Stegostoma tigrinum: one gene and its partner. The main gene of each other region encodes a partner of the protein of the gene in region 2 in a complex. Links are inferred from orthologs where the notes say so. Each region holds a gene or a part of one and is shown on either strand. Other genes may lie near its edges. The genes, in order: mitochondrial intermembrane space import and assembly protein 40-like and aifm1.

The links.
Region 1: the proteins of aifm1 (region 2) and mitochondrial intermembrane space import and assembly protein 40-like are in contact, whole or in part, in a cryo-EM structure (PDB 9GQZ), measured with the Homo sapiens proteins. The link is inferred for Stegostoma tigrinum from reciprocal best matches to the Homo sapiens genes AIFM1 and CHCHD4. Residues at the interface, in NP_004199.1 of Homo sapiens: Pro345, Tyr347, Ser500, Ser501, Leu502, Pro503, Thr504, Val505, Gly506, Val507, Phe508, Ala509, Lys510, Glu558, Asp559, Tyr560, Asn602, Ala605, Lys606, Phe608, Asn609, Ile610, His611; in NP_001091972.1 of Homo sapiens: Arg5, Glu7, Lys9, Asp10, Arg11, Ile12, Ile13, Phe14, Val15, Thr16, Lys17, His20, Thr22, Pro23.

What each region holds. Positions count from the first base shown.
Region 1 is NC_081364.1:2,799,540-2,807,141, reverse strand, and holds the start of mitochondrial intermembrane space import and assembly protein 40-like, read left to right. Parts: upstream 1-4,379; 5' UTR 4,380-4,505; coding exon 4,506-4,527; intron 4,528-7,602. Other genes in the region: transmembrane protein 43-like, read right to left, coding at 1,776-1,922, 2,783-2,797.
Region 2 is NC_081368.1:61,399,157-61,407,368, reverse strand, and holds the start of aifm1 (apoptosis-inducing factor 1, mitochondrial), read left to right. Parts: upstream 1-5,053; 5' UTR 5,054-5,201; coding exon 5,202-5,289; intron 5,290-8,212. UniProt on the Homo sapiens protein: Functions both as NADH oxidoreductase and as regulator of apoptosis.

The DNA of each region.
Region 1 (7,602 bases), on a different chromosome or scaffold from region 2:
GAGTGCCTGCATGTGCTACCGTTTTCTTTCCAGATGGTAACTGTTATGGTTTTAGGAGATGTTGTCAGAGGAGCCTTGTAAATAAACCTGCTTTTATAGAACTACATCAGCACAATATAAAATGTTCCAAGACATTTCACAAGAACGTAGATTAGAGAATAACCGTCACCCAGCAACATAAAAATGCAGCATTAGTGACCAAAATCTCAAACAGACCGGCATCTTAAAGGAGGATAGAGAGATAAAGAAAGAGACAATTAGAGAGGTTTATGGAGGGAATTCTAGAGTGTTGAGTCCAGACAGCTGTCGGTATAGCATTCAATGGCGGAGGGATTAAAATCACAGATACTCCAGGGATTAGAATTGGAGCGAGGCAGAGATATCGGAGGATTTGGGGACTGGAAGAGGTTACAGCAAGATGTAAAGTGCGAGTCTATGTTGGGTTCAAACAAGTGGTTGATGATTTTTTCAATGGAATTACCGTCAGACTGTGAGCAAAACGTTCATCAACAACACACATGGGCAATGTTCCTGGTAACTGCACCAAGCAGAATATTCTGTGTCACTGCCCTACCACGCTGCTGTGCCCAGTTTACAGGGAATACTAGTGAGCGGTAACCGGGACATGACAACATCTAGAAGAACTCAGATAGCCAGAGGAAGGAAGATGGTGTTATTTCAAGGGACTTCAACATTCTTAAGCACAAGATCACTTTTTGAGTTTTAGTGCAAACAAGAATCTACCTGAAAGAAAATAATGCATTTATTTTTAGTATATCTGATTATTCATTTTGTCTTCTACATATAGGCTCAGTATGTTATCCTCCTCTTTGAGTAGCCAAATTATAATTTGAACTAGCTAGTTCTATACAGTCCATCACACGGGCATTTGTGAGGCAGGTGAGATACTTGGACTTGATTATCTGTATTTGGGAGAATGCTGTCTCAGAGGGATGTGGTACCAAAGCTTTCATTGTAAAACCACAGGATAATAGCAGTGTGTATTTTTCTCTGTTTACAAATCTCCAAACATCACTGTCCCTTGTTCCAGCTTCCAGCTCAATATCATTTGGCACAGTTAATTATGTCCACTTCAATACCACGGACTTGTAAATCAAATACCTAATGGAATCTGATAGCCAGCCCAACAACGTCTACTTGAAGGAAGAGACCGGAGGGAGACATGACCGTTCATTCCAATGCATCTAATTCCTGAAATTAGCCTGTAGAAATGATCCCACATTGCTAAGTCTCTATCCTCTCTGTGCAGTTCACAGTTCAGCTCATTCAGCTTTGATCTTTTATCTGTAAGGAACATGAAGCCAAGTAACGACACATTGGCAGCTCACTGCACACCTCATTCCTTCTTGAGTGTTGTTAGAGCTGCATCCATCCAGGCAAGTGGGGAGTATTCCATCACACTCCTGACTTGTGCCTTTAGATGGTTAGATGTGTTTTGGGGAGTCAGGAGGGGAGTTACACACCGGTGTATTCCTAGCCTCTGACCTGCTCTTGTAGCCACGTTGTTTACGTTTTGTTGTGTATCAAATCCAGTTAAGTTTCACATCAACGTTCCTCATCATGCATTTTACAAAAACTATCACCTCAGATTCTTCTGTTTGCCCAGGTCCCTGATGTGGGATTTGAACCCATGAACTTCTGATTCAGAAATGAGCGCGAGCTACCCACTGAGCAACAGACACTGATACCACAAATTGAACAGGATAACTGATGCCTGCCCAGAAAACAGCATGTAATCCAACCTCTGCACCTACCTCATTGGTGAAGAGGAGGTAGAAGGACAAGGTGAAGATAAGCACTCCCACCACCATTCCCCCCATTGTCTCCCCAAGACGTTCCAGGAATCCCTGCTTCTTCTGATTTGTGACCTTCACGTGTTCATCCCTGCTGCCTCCTGGTTGCTGCAAAACCAGAAGGGACAAGCTTTCATGAATCTTTAAGTACCATCTTAAAAGCGAAATGAAGACAGATGAACTTTGTAAACATTTTCACGGGATGTGGAATAGTATTGGCTAGGCTGGCCATCTCTAAATTCCCTTCAAAATGTTGTCTGCCTTCATTAACTGCTGCAGGCCATTCAGTACAGGCACACCCAAAAACAGAAGGTGTTTAAACAACAGTGACACAATTTTTGATGTTGGGCTGTGGGCATTCCTGGTCAGACTGACATTTATTGCCCATTCATTTTACCCAGAACCAGTATAATTGAGCTGACTGACTTAGCTGAGGATCTTACACAGCATTTAAAATATAATCTTGACAAATGGGTCTGAAGTCATTTACACATCGTCAGTGACATCTCACTAACCAAGACTTGCACCCTCCCACCCATTATGTTTTGATTATAGTGCAGCATCATTTTGATTTGCTCTGGCACTGGCCAACAATTGTGCTGATTAGAAACAAAAAAAACAGCAACTGATGGAGAGTTGTTGGCTTCAGTCCAGGGCCATAGTAGACATAGGGAAGGGTTGGTGGTTCTGATTGGGGGGGGGGGGGGGGGGGGAGGTAGGGAGAAGGACTCTGGTTAGCCCCTTTGATTTTACAAGAAGAGATATCAGATCTCTTGCAAATATGCCAGGGAGATGGGAACTTTGTCTTCCTCAGGTTCAAAGCTGTGCCACGTGGATCTGGGCTGTCAGAATATAGAAGGGAACTCCCTTCCCCAGGAATATCTTCAGATGATAATGTGTCCAACGCCAATTCAGATTAATCTTCACCTGCACGTTGACAAGGCTGTTGTTTGTGGTTCTGAACTTACATTAGGCCTCACCATGGTTTCCCTGCCAATAACACACACTGAGGGGGGAGACCACAGTCAGCTCTAGCCCCTCTCACACCTTCACTTCCGGCTTCAAGGGGGATACATTCTGCGCCTGCGCACTCCTGAGGGACGGACCTACTCCCGTGAAGCTTGCCGGGAGATGGTGTCGACTCCCCAGGAATGCTGGGGATTGTAGTCTTACCTACCGGAGGATGCTGGGTGGTGGCCTCCCCGGGCTCCGCCTGGGAAGGTTAGGACCCTCCCGCAAGCATGCTGGGAGCTGTAGTTTTCTTCAGCTTGAACCTGGTCCCCAGGGAAAATGAAACCCCAGTATATAAATGACTTTATTCACCTGCATCCACTCATATTGAGGTGATTGCACAATTGTACTGAACATGGCCACACAAAATTTCAAGACCATCTTAGCTTGGAGCAGGGACAGCCCCTGACTTATACTGTCAAAACTTCTCAAAACTCACTTATACTGCCATTCTATAAGTTCATACTCATCCAATTGTGTCTTTCACTGCACTTTCCTGCTGGTCAATTCTACAGATTAATCACATGTTATTACATATTGTACAATATTTGAGCCTGTGGATTCTATAGATTAAAATAAAACAATGAATTACAAATGCTGGAAATCTAAAACAAAAATAGAAATTGCTGGAGAAACTCAGTAGGACTGACAGCAACTGTGGGAAGAAAGCACAGGGTCCAGAGACTCTTCATCAGAGCTGGTATGAGCCAGAAAAATGTGATATTTATGCTGAAGCTGAAGCTGGGAATCTGAAGGGGAGATGAGGGCGGATTGGTGGAGACGGAGCCCAGAGACAGAGATATGAAAGAGCTAGGTAGACAGGGAAATTACGGGTAGCAGGCCAGAATAGAAAAAAAACTGAATATGTGACAATGAGAGCTAAGAGTAGGAGAAAATCGGTGAGCTGTACAGAATGTAACCTAGTCTGCGTCACACAAACCGCTTTGCAGAAAACCAAGCTCTGTCTGCAAAAATGATCCTAAGCTTTCTGTTGCCTGCCACTTCAACACACCGCTGTGTTCTCATGCCAAAATTTCTGTTGCAGGCTTGCTGTAGAGTTCCAGCCAACCTCAATGCAAGGTCAAAGAACATCTTACTTTCCACTCGGGGATCTTGTGGCCTCTAGAACTCAACAATGAGTTCAATAACCTTAAGAGCCTAATACAGTCCGTCCATGCTTTTTACCCACAGCCACACCTGATTCTCTCAATGACCACAATCACCCATTCTCACAAACTCGTTGGTCCATTATAACTTAATAAATATTGTTTATTCAGTAGGTGGATGTGATGGATATTATACATTCCATAGGGTGGGTATTATGGACAATATACATTCCATAGGGTGGGTTTACGGAAAATATAGATTCTACAGGGTAGGTATTGTGGACATTATACATTCTAATGGATTAGTATGACGGACATTGTGCATTCTATAGGGTGTATGTTATAGATTCCATAGGGTAGGTGCTTTGGGCCGTCTCTGCGGCTTTAAATTGGGCCCCCGGTTCTGGCCCCGCCCTCTCGCTGTGATTGGTTCCTGCCTGTGGGTCAGAGGTCAGGCCGGGAGCACGGGCCGGAGACTGAGAAACACATTTCTTCCCCACCCCCCCGGACACGAACCCTCACACAGAGAGAGAGAGAGAGAGAGAGACAGAGAGAGAGACAGAGAGAGAGAGAGATGTCCCACTGCCGGCGGCACGGTGAGGGGCCGGGGGGGTGGGGAACGGAGGGTCAGGTGTGAGGGTGAGGGGGTGAGGGGGGTGAGGAGGGGGGTGGGGGAGGGGGGTGAGGAGGGGGTGAGGAGGGGGGTGGGTGAGGAGGGGGGTGGGTGAGGGGGTGGGGGAACGGAGGGTCAGGTGTGAGGGTGAGGAGGGGGTGAGGAGGGGGGTGGGTGAGGGGGTGAGGGGGGTGAGGAGGGGAGGGGGGTGAGGAGGGGGGTAGGGGAGGGGGGTGAGGAGGGGGGTGGGGGAGGGGGGTGGGTGAGGGGGTGGGGGTGGGGGAGGGGGGTGGGTGAGGGGGTGGGGGGGGTGAGGAGGGGGGTGGGTGAGGGGGGTGAGGAGGGGGGTGGGTGAGGGGGGTGAGGAGGGGGTGGGGGGGGTGGGGGGGGTGAGGGGGGTGAGGAGTGGGGGGGGTGAGGGGGGTGAGGAGGGGGGTGGGTGAGGGGGTGAGGGGGGTGGGTGAGGGGGTGAGGGGGGTGGGTGAGGAGGGGGGTGGGTGAGGAGGGGGGTGGGTGAGGGGGGTGGGTGGGGTGAGGGGGGTGGGTGAGGGGGGTGGGTGAGGTGAGGGGGGTGGGTGAGGGGGGTGGGTGAGGGGGGTGGGTGAGGTGAGGGGGGTGGGTGAGGGGGGTGGGGAGGGGGGGGGGGTGAGGAGGGGGGGGGGTGAGGAGGGGGGGAGGGTGAGGAGGGGTGTGAGGAGGGGGGGAGGGTGAGGGGGGTGGGTGAGGAGGGGGGGAGGGGGAGGGGGGGAGGGTGAGGGGGGTGGGTGAGGGGGGTGAGGAGGGGGGTGGGTGAGGGGGGTGGGTGAGGGGGGTGGGTGAGGGGGGTGAGGAGGGGGGGTGGGTGAGGGGGTGGGGGGGGTGGGGTGGGTGAGGGGGGTGAGGGGTGGGGTGGGTGAGGGGGGTGGGGTGGGTGAGGGGGGGTGAGGAGGTGGGGTGGGTGAGGGGGTTGAGGAGGTGGGGTGGGTGAGGGGGTTGAGGAGGTGAGGGGGTTGAGGAGGTGGGGTGGGTGAGGGGGGTGAGGAGGTGGGGTGGGTGAGGAGGGGGGTGAGGAGGTGGGGTGGGTGAGGAGGTGGGGTGGGTGAGGAGGGGGGTGAGGAGGTGGGGTGGGTGAGGAGGTGGGGTGGGTGAGGAGGGGGGTGAGGAGGTGGGGTGGGTGAGGAGGTGGGGTGGGTGAGGGGGTGGGGGGGGGTGAGGGGGTGAGGAGGGGGGTGGGTGAGGGGGTGGGGGGGGTGAGGAGGGGGGTGGGTGAGGGGGTGGGGGGGGTGAGGGGGGTGAGGAGGGGGGTGGGTGAGGGGGTGGGGGGGGTGAGGGGGGTGAGGAGGGGGGTGGGTGAGGGGGTGGGGGGGGTGAGGGGGGTGAGGAGGGGGGTGGGTGAGGGGGTGGGTGAGGGGGTGAGGGGGGTGAGGGGGTGGGGGGGGGGTGAGGGGGGTGGGGGGGGTGAGGGGGGTGGGAGGGGGGTGGGTGAGGGGGGTGGGTGAGGGGGTGGGTGAGGGGGTGGGTGAGGGGGTGAGGGGGGTGAGGAGGGGGGTGGGTGAGGGGGTGGGGGGGGTGAGGGGGGTGGGTGAGGGGGGTGAGGAGGGGGGGTGGGTGAGGGGGGTGAGGGGTGGGGTGGGTGAGGGGGGTGGGGTGGGTGAGGTGGGTGAGGGGGTGGGGTGGGGTGGGTGAGGGGGTGGGGTGGGGTGGGTGAGGGGGGTGAAGAGGGGGGTGAGGAGGTGGGGTGGGTGAGGGGGGTGAGGAGGTGGGGTGGGTGAGGGGGGTGAGGAGGTGGGGGGGGTGAGGGGGTTGAGGAGGTGGGGGGGGTGAGGGGGTTGAGGAGGTGGGGTGGGTGAGGGGGTTGAGGAGGTGAGGGGGTTGAGGAGGTGGGGTTGAGGAGGTGGGGTGGGTGAGGGGGTTGAGGAGGTGAGGGGGTTGAGGAGGTGGGGTTGAGGAGGGGGGTGAGGAGGTGGGGTGGGTGAGGAGGTGGGGTGGGTGAGGGGGGTGAGGAGGGGGGGTGGGTGAGGGGGGTGAGGAGGGGGGTGGGTGAGGGGGGTGAGGAGGGGGGTGGGTGAGGGGGGGTGAGGGGGGGTGAGGAGGGGGGGGTGAGGGGGGTGAGGAGGTGGGGTGGGTGAGGGGGGTGAGGAGGTGGGGTGGGTGAGGGGGGTGAGGAGGTGGGGTGGGTGAGGGGGTTGAGGAGGTGGGGTGGGTGAGGGGGTGAGGAGGGGGGTGAGGAGGTGGGGTGGGTGAGGAGGTGGGGTGGGTGAGGGGGGTGAGGAGGTGGGGTGGGTGAGGGGGGTGAGGAGGTGGGGTGGGTGAGGAGGTGGGGTGGGTGAGGGGGTGGGGTGGGTGAGGGGGGTGAGGAGGTGGGGTGGGTGAGGGGGGTGAGGAGGTGGGGTGGGTGAGGGGGGTGAGGAGGTGGGGTGGGTGAGGGGGGTGAGGAGGTGAGGGGGGTGAGGAGGTGGGGTGGGTGAGGGGGGTGAGGAGGTGGGATGTGTGAGGGGTGGGTGAGGGGGGTGAGGAGGTGGGGTGGGTGAGCGGGAGGTGGGGTGGGTGAGCGGGGGGTGAGGGGGGTGAGGAGGTGGGGGGGTGAGGGGGGTGAGGAGGTGGGGGGGTGAGGGGGGTGAGGAGGTGGGGGGGTGAGGGGGGTGAGGAGGTGGGGGGGTGAGGGGGGTGAGGAGGTGGGGGGGTGAGGAGGTGGGGGGGTGAGGGGGGTGAGGAGGTGGGGGGGTGAGGGGGGTGAGGAGGTGGGGGGGGTGAGGGGGGTGAGGAGGTGGGGAGTGAGGGGGGTGAGGAGGTGGGGGGGTGAGGGGTGTGAGGAGGGGGGGTGAGGGGTGTGAGGAGGGGGGGGTGAGGGGGGTGAGGAGGGGGGGGTGAGGAGGTGGGGGGGTGGGGGGGGTGAGGAGGTGGGGGGGTGAGGGGGGGGTGAGGAGGGGGGGTGAGGGGGGTGGGTGAGTGGGGTGGGGTGAGGTGGGTGAGGAGGTGGGGGGGTGAGGGGGTTGAGGAGGGGTGAGGAGGGGGGGTGAGGAGGGGGGGGTGTGGAGGGGGGGGTGAGGGGGGTGGGTGAGGAGGGGGGTGAGGGGGG
Region 2 (8,212 bases):
AGTAAACAGACAAAGTCTTATTCCCAGGGCGGTGGAGTCACAAAACTCGAGGGCGAAGATTTGACGTGAGGAGGAGGATTTCAAAAGGACCTTAGTGGCAACTTTTTCAACAAAGGCTGATGAGTGTGTGCAGAACCAGCTTGCCGAGGAAGTAGTGGAGGCTGGTACAATTACAGCATTTAAAAGGTATCTGGATAGGTCAATGAATATGAGATAACAAGGTGTAGAGCTGGATGAACACAGCAGGCCAAGCAGCATCTGAGGAGCAGGAAGGCTGACATTTCGGGCCTAGACCTGTGATCTCAGATTCTCCAGCACTTGCAGTTCCTACTAACTCAGGTCAATGAATATGAAGGGTTTAGGGATATGGGCCAAATGCTGGCAAATGGGACTAGATTTGTTCAGGATATCTGGTCAGCAACGGATAACTTGTACCCCAAAGGGTCTGTTTCTGTGCTGTACAATTCTGACCTTATAAATGATTTCAAGGCAATAATCACATTTCAAAGTCATTTAAACAATTTTTTACTTAAATGACAGCAAAAGTAATAGATTCAGGCCTTGAACCTTCATGGTGTGCTTTGGCCAATCTGAGTCAACTTTTTCAGTCTCAATTGATCTGGTCATTGAAATTTGGTGTACTGATTTGTCCTGATAAATGTAACATTAAACTTTCGGCATCATCTTTTGCTGGGTCAAAATCCTGGAATTCCCTAAGGGCATTTTGGGTCTATGGACAGTACATGAATTGAAGAAAACAGCTCACAATCACCCTGTCAAGGGTAACCAGGAAGGCAATAAAAGTCAAACAGCCAACAATGGGCATGTCCAACAACTGAATTTTAAAAATGGTGTTTGTGGGCATAAACTAACATAAAGTACTTTCTGTGAAAAATTGTCATTCAGAATGAGTCCATTTTTACTCATGCTTTTCAACTTATTTTTAGAATATACAGAAACAGAAGAACATCAACATTTTTTTCTTTATTCATTCATAGGATGAGGGCATTGCTGGTGAGGCAGTATTTATTGCTCATCCTGAATTGCCTAGAAGGCAGTTTAGAGGCAACCACATTGCTGTGGGTCTAGAGTCACATGTAGGTCAGGTAAGGATGGCAGTTTCCCTCCCTAAAAAACATTAGTGAAAAAAATGAATTTTTTTCCTGCAACAGTCAACATTGGATTCACACTCTTTATTAGATTCTTAATTCCAGACGTTTATTAAATTCAAATTGCACCATCTGCTATGACAGGATTCAAACCTGGGTCCCCAGAACATTATCTGGGTCTCTAGATTAACACTCCAGTGATAATACCTCTAAGCCATCGCCGCCCTTTAGGAGCTGATGTAAGGTTTTCAGCCCTTCAAGCCTGCTCCAGCATTCAATATGATCACATCTGATATCCAACTCAATACCCTGTTTCTGATTTCTCCCCATACCTTTTGATTCCTTTAGCCCCAATAACAATATCTAAATCCTCCTGTAAATATTTCAATGTTTTGGCCTCAGATGTTTCCTGTGGCAAAGAATTTCATAAGCTCACCACTCTCTGGATGAAGAAACCTCTCCTCACTTCAGACCAAAATGGCCTTAAACTGTGACTCCTGGTGCTAGACTTGACAGTCATTGGTAACATAATTTTTGCATTTGTGCTAAATCCTGTTAGAATTGTGTTGGTTCCGATAAGATTCCCCTCATTCTTCCAAACTCCAGTGAATATCGTCATAATCCATCCAGCATGAAATCAGTCCTCCCATCCATGGAATTATATTGGTAAACCTTCAAAGAACTACCTTTATAGTCAGAACATCCTTCTTCAGAAGAGGAGACCAAAACTACATGCAATACTGCCGATACGGTTTTACCAAGGCCCTGTACTGCAGCAAGACATCACTCCTCCTGTGAAATATGACATCGTGCATGAGTCAGAGCTGTGGCAAAGGGTGCTGTGTCCTGAAAGGCAACAAAATAGTTGTGTAATAAAGTCATTAAGAAACCATACAAGAAGTGGAGGAAGTCTTGGAAACAAAGCTATTCATAGAATCATAGAATCCCTACATTGTGGAAACAGGACATTTGGCCCATCAAAACAACAGTGACCCTCCAAAGAGCTATCCAACCACACACACACCCTTATCCTATCTCTGTAAATATGCATTTCCCATGGCTAATCCACTTAGCACGTATTTTCCTGGACACTAGGGGCAATTTAGCATGGCCAATCCACCTAACCAACACATCGTTGGACTGTAGAAGGAAACCACAGTATCCAGAGGAAACCCACACAGGCACAGGGAGAATGTGCAGACTCCACACAGATAGTCGCCTGAGGCTGGAATTGAACGCAGATCCCTAGTTTTTGTGAGGTCACAGTGCTAACCACTGAGCACCAAGCAGCCCTTTCCCAACTTACATGTACTAGAAGAGATCTGGGCCGACTTTCAATCAGAATTTCATCTAAAACCATGAAAGTCAAGAACTCCCGTGTTGTCCAAATGATTGAGTGTGTCTCCTCAGAGGTTTTGCACGTGATTCAGTATAACAAGCACCAGCTCATCTCAGTCAAGGAGATCTAGAGGATTGTCCACCTTATGCTGCCAGGGAAATGGCCAAAGATGCTGTCTCGTTAGGCATAAAAGCAGACATCAAATGCACCAGCTTCTCTTAGGTCAACAATGTTAAAGAAAAATGATCTCTGCCCCTGTACTCCAATCTTCTCTCCATGAAGGCCAACAGACCACTTGCTTTCTTCACTTCCTACTCATGCCTGCATGCTTACTTTCAGTGACTGGCATCTGGTTGCTCCTCACACTTTCCCAATCTTCCATTCAGATGAAAATCTGTTTTTGCCACCAACGTTGATAACCTCACATTGTCCCACGTTGTACGTGAGCTGCTGTGCATTTGTCCACTCAGTTCACCTTGTCCAAATCACCCTTCAGCATCTCTGTATCCGCCTCACAGTTCCCCCTCCCACCCAGCCTTCGTGTTGTCTGCAAACCTGGACATTTAGTTTCCTCATCTAAATCATGAACGTTTATTATGAATAGGTGGGGGGAGGTGGTTGTCCAAGCACTCATCCCTGCAGTACCCCTGATTGCAGTCAGTTCCCGGCACTGGGGAAAATACTCGTTCTGAGGAAAGGGACACCAGACCCCGAAACAACAAAGTGAGGAGCTGGATGAACTGTGCAGGCCAAGCAGCATCTTGGGAGCACAAAAGCTGACATTTCGGGCCGAGACACTTCATCAGAAAAGGGGGATGGGGAGAGGATTCTGAAATAATTAGGGAGAGAGGGGGAGGTGGACCGAAGATGGATAGAGGAGAAGGCAAGTGGAGAGGAGAGTATGGGGAGGGGATAGGTCAGTCAGGGAGGATGGACAGGTCAAGGGGGCGGGATTGGGTTAGTAGGTAGGAAATGGACGTGCAGCTTGAGGTGGGAGAAAGGGATGGGTGAGAGGAAGAACAGGTTAGGCAGGCAGGGACGAGCTTGGCTGGTTTTGGGATGCAGTGGGGGGAGGGGAGATTTTGAAGCTGGTGAAATCCACATCGATACCATTGGGCTGCAGGGTTCCCAAGAGTAATATGAGATGCTGTTCCTGCAACCTTCGGGTGGCATCCTTGTGGCACTGCAGGAGGCTCAGGATGGACATGTCATCTAAGGAATGGGAGGGGGAGTTGAAATGGTTTGCGACTGGGAGATGTAGTTGTCTATTGCGAACCAAGTGGAGGTTTTCTGCAAAGCGGTCCCCAAGCCTCCGCGGGGTAGCCACACCGGGTACAGCAGATGCAGTATACCACACTGGCGGATGTGCAGGTCAACATCTGCTTGATGTGGAAAGTCATCTTGGGGCCTGGGATGGGGGTGAGAAAGGAGATCCGCATTTCCCACACTTCATGCCTCACACCCCGCCCCGGTAATAAGTGCCAAAAGAGAATCTCCCTCATCCTCACATACCACCCCACCAACCTCCGGATACAACGCATCATTCGCCGACACTTCCGCCATCTACAATCCAACTCCACCACTAAAGACATTTTTCCAACCCCACCCTTGTCTGCCTTCCGGAGAGACCACTCTCTCCGCGACTCCCTTGTCCGCTCCACACTCCCCTCCAGCCCCACCACACCCAGCACTTTCCCCTGCACCTCCTCTCTCACCCCTATCCCAGGCCCCAAGATGACTTTCCACATCAAGCAGATGTTCACCTGCACATCCACCAATGTGGTATATTGTATCCATTGTACCCGGTGTGGCTTCCTCTACATTGGGGAAACCAAGCAGAGGCTTGGGGACCGCTTTGCATAACACCTACGCTCGGTTCGTAATAAACAACTGCACGTCCCAGTCCCAAACCATTTCAACTGCCCCTCCCATTCCTTAGATGACATCCTGCAGTGCCATAACGTTGCAGGAACAGCACCTCATATTCCGCTTGGGAACCTTGCAGCCGAATGGTATCAATGTGGATTTCACAAGCTTCAAAATGTCCCATCCCCCCCAATCCATCCCAAAACCAGCCCAACTGGTCCGAGCCTGCCGAACGTGTTCTTCCTCTCACCGATCCCCTCCTCCCACTTCAAGCCACACCTCCATTTCCAACCTACAAACCTCATCCCGCCCCCTTGACCTGTCCGTACTGACCCAGCGATCCGCCTCCCCCCTTTCTCCCTATTTATTTCAGAACCCTCTCCCCATCCCTCTCTCTGATGAAGGGTCTAAGCCTGAAATATCAGCTTTTGTGCTCCTGAGATGCTGCTTGGTCTGCTGTGTTCATCCAGCTCTACGCTTTTGTTATCTCGGATTCTCCAGCATCTGCAGTTCCTATTATCCCGGACCCCGAAACGTTCACTCCGATTTTTCTTCTGCACAGACGCTGCCAGGATCTGTTAAACTTTTCCAGCAACGTCTCTAATCGACAGTATCTCAATTCTTTTGGGGAAGGGGGGGAGCGGAAGCTCTTCTCTTCTCCCGCTGCCTCTCGACGACTGTTGACATCTTCCCTCTGCCGGCCGCTAGGGGGTGAGAGCGCGGGCGGGTGCTGCCGCCGACGTGTCTGATCGGCGCCTGCGCGGAGACGGAGGGCCGGCTGAAGTTTGTGAGGGGGTGCGAGACGGCATTTTCTTTGTAGCGGTTGGGGGCGTGTGTTGTGGATGATGGCGGGGTAACGAGATTGACTGACCGATCGAGCCGGAACCATGCTGCGGACCAGGGCGACATGGCAGACGCTACTGCCGCTGAGCAGAGCGGCGTCGGTGCTAGTGAGGGGTAGCGCCAGGAAACGAGGTGAGGTGGGACGAGGGGACGGTTTGGCGGACAGCTGGCTGTAGGCCGCGGGTTTAGCTCTCGTCGCCGGGGCCAAGGTCGTGGGAAACCCCGCAGGCTATAAACTTTCTGCTTTTGGGGGCCCTTTCCCTCCCTTCCCCACTACTTGTCCCGTTCGTCCAAGTATGTGCCCTGAGCACCCTGCTGTTCACCTTGGCTTTCACTGGTAGGTCACAAACCAGAAGTTGCAGGCTGTGCCTTGAACTGCTTCTTCTCGCAATTGTTCACAAAGCATTAACTGGCCGAGCGGATCTGCCCGAGAAAATACTATTCTTTGGTATGTGTCCGTGTTTTTTGACCCCCCCCCTCTCCAAATCAGGTACAGCCGTTAGTTTTACGAAAGCTGTATAGGTCTCGCCTTGGCAGTTGGCACTTTCTTTACTGGTCCAAGGTCAGTGTCACCAAGAGCAACTCTATAAACCGGGAAGTCGCATTCCGTGCAAAAATCTTCCTGAACGTGGTGCAAAAGCAGATCGCTGCCGAGACCGGAGAGCTAAATCAAAAGCAAGATGCTCAACAGGTCACAGAAACAGAATTAACGTTTAAGTCCGAGATACCAAGGTGGAGAGCTGGATGAACACGGCGGGCCAAGCAGCATCAGAGGAACAGGAAGGCCGAGACCCTTTATTTAGAATATTTAGGTCCATAACTTGTCGACAAAGCCGGCGAGAAATACAACCGTAAAGTACGTGAAGATGCTAGAAAGTGAGGAAGGTAGGGACAAAAATCAATTTCTGTGAAGGTGTCGATGAGAGCAGTGTTTTCGATGCAGTATGTTTGGACGCCAGCTAGACTTTTGATCAGGTCCTGCATGGAATATTGGTAGCAAAGCTTAGAACCCATGGCACCTGAGGAAATTTGGCAAATTGGATGCTCGGCTGAATGGCAGGAAGTAGAAAGTTGTGTTGTTTTTCTGACTGGAAATCTGTCAAGTGGGGCTGAACAAGGTTTGGTTTTGGGACTCTTGCTGTTTGTACGTTATATAAATGATTTAGAGTTGAATGTAGGAGGGTTGGTCATTAAGATTATGTAATATAAAAATTGGGGTGATAAATGGTGAGGAGGATAGCCTTACATGTAAAGAAACTGGTCAAATGGGTTAAACAGGGGCAAATGGAATTCAGTCTGGGTAACTGTGCGGTGTATAAACAAGGCAAGGGAACACATGAATGAGGATACTGGCAAGTGCCAAGGATCAGAGGGATTGAGATGTGTATGTACACCAATCCCCAGAAAGTGGGAGCAAATTACTGCAGATGCTGGAACCTGTACTGAAAACAAAAAAACACTCTAGAAGTTACAGTGGACCAGGTAGCATCCACAGAGAGAGAGCAAGCTAATGTTTCAAGTCCAGATGACTGTTTTTCAGCGCTATAAGATGGGATTAGAATGGTGAAGTGACTGACTGTTTGTTTGTTTGTTTGTTTGTTTGTTTGTTTTTGACTGGTTAAGTGGCAGATGCGATGGGATGAAGAACCTTTTTCTGTATTGTACATCTCTGTGGTGGGATGAAACGACAGAAGAGACAATGACCAAGGCAAAAGAGTGGTAGTGAAACCAACGATCACCAGCCCATGATATTTGGATTAATGATTATGGGCAGTGTTTATGGTGTGAAAGTGTTAAATTTAATGTTAAGCCCAACATGTTGAAGATGTCTAATCAAAAAATGAGATTGTCTTCATTGAGATGCCCTTTGAACTTCATGTGATCAATATAAGAGGCTCAGGGTGGAGAGGGAGAGAATTAAGAAGGCAGGCAAGCAGGCACTCAAGATTACACTGGCAGACTGAATAAAGATGTCCTGCAAAGCAGTTTAGTATGTTCCTCTCACTAGTGGATTGGTGTATACACTGGTTAGTGTGCCATGGAAACAGTTGATGGTGTCAAGAGTGCATCAAGCTGTTGCAGAAGGACTGATAACAAAGTGTGGAGCTGGATGAACACAGCAGGCCAAGCAGCATCTCAGGAGCACAAAAGCTGACGTTTCAGGCCTCGACCCTTCATCGGAGAAGGGGATGGGGAGAGGGTTCTGGAATAAATAGGGAGAGACGGGAAGGCGGACCAAAGATGGCGAGAAAAGAAGATAGGTAGGGAGGGGATAGGCCAGTCCAGGGAAGACGGACAGGTCAAGGAGGTGGGATGAGGTTAGGTAGGAAATGGAGGTGCGGCTTGAGATGGGAGGAAGGGATGGGTGAGAGGAAGAACAGGTTAGGGAGGCAGAGACAGGCTGGGCTGGTTTTGGAATGCAGTGGGGGGGAGGGGATGAGCTGGGCTGGTTGTGTGATGCAGTGGGGGGAGGGGACGAACTGGGCTGGTTGTGGGATGCGGTGGGGGAAGGGGAGATTTTGAAGCTTGTGAAGTCCACATTGATACCATTGGGCTGCAGGGTTCCCAAGCGGAATATGAGTTGCTGTTCCTGCAACCTTCGGGTGGCATCCTTGTGGCACTGCAGGCGGCCCATGATGGACATGTCATCTGAAGAATGGGAGGGAGTTAAAATGGCTTGCGACTGGGAGGTGCAGTTGTTTATTGCGAACCGAGCTGAGGTGTTCTGCAGAGCGGTCCCCAAGCCTCCGCTCGGTTTCCCCAATGTAGAGGAAACCATACCGGGTACAATGGATTCAGTAACAGCTTTGCAGAACACCTCCGCTCGGTTTGCAATAAACAACTGCACCTCCAAGTCGTGAACCATTTTAACTCCCCCTCCCATTCTTCAGATGACATGTCCATCATGGGCCTCCTGCAGTGCCACAAGGATGCCACCCGAAGGTTGCAGGAACAGCAACTCATATTCCACTTGGGAACCCTGCAGCCCAATGGTATCAATGTGGACTTCACCAGCTTCAAAATCTCCCCTTCCCCCACCGCATCCCACAACCTG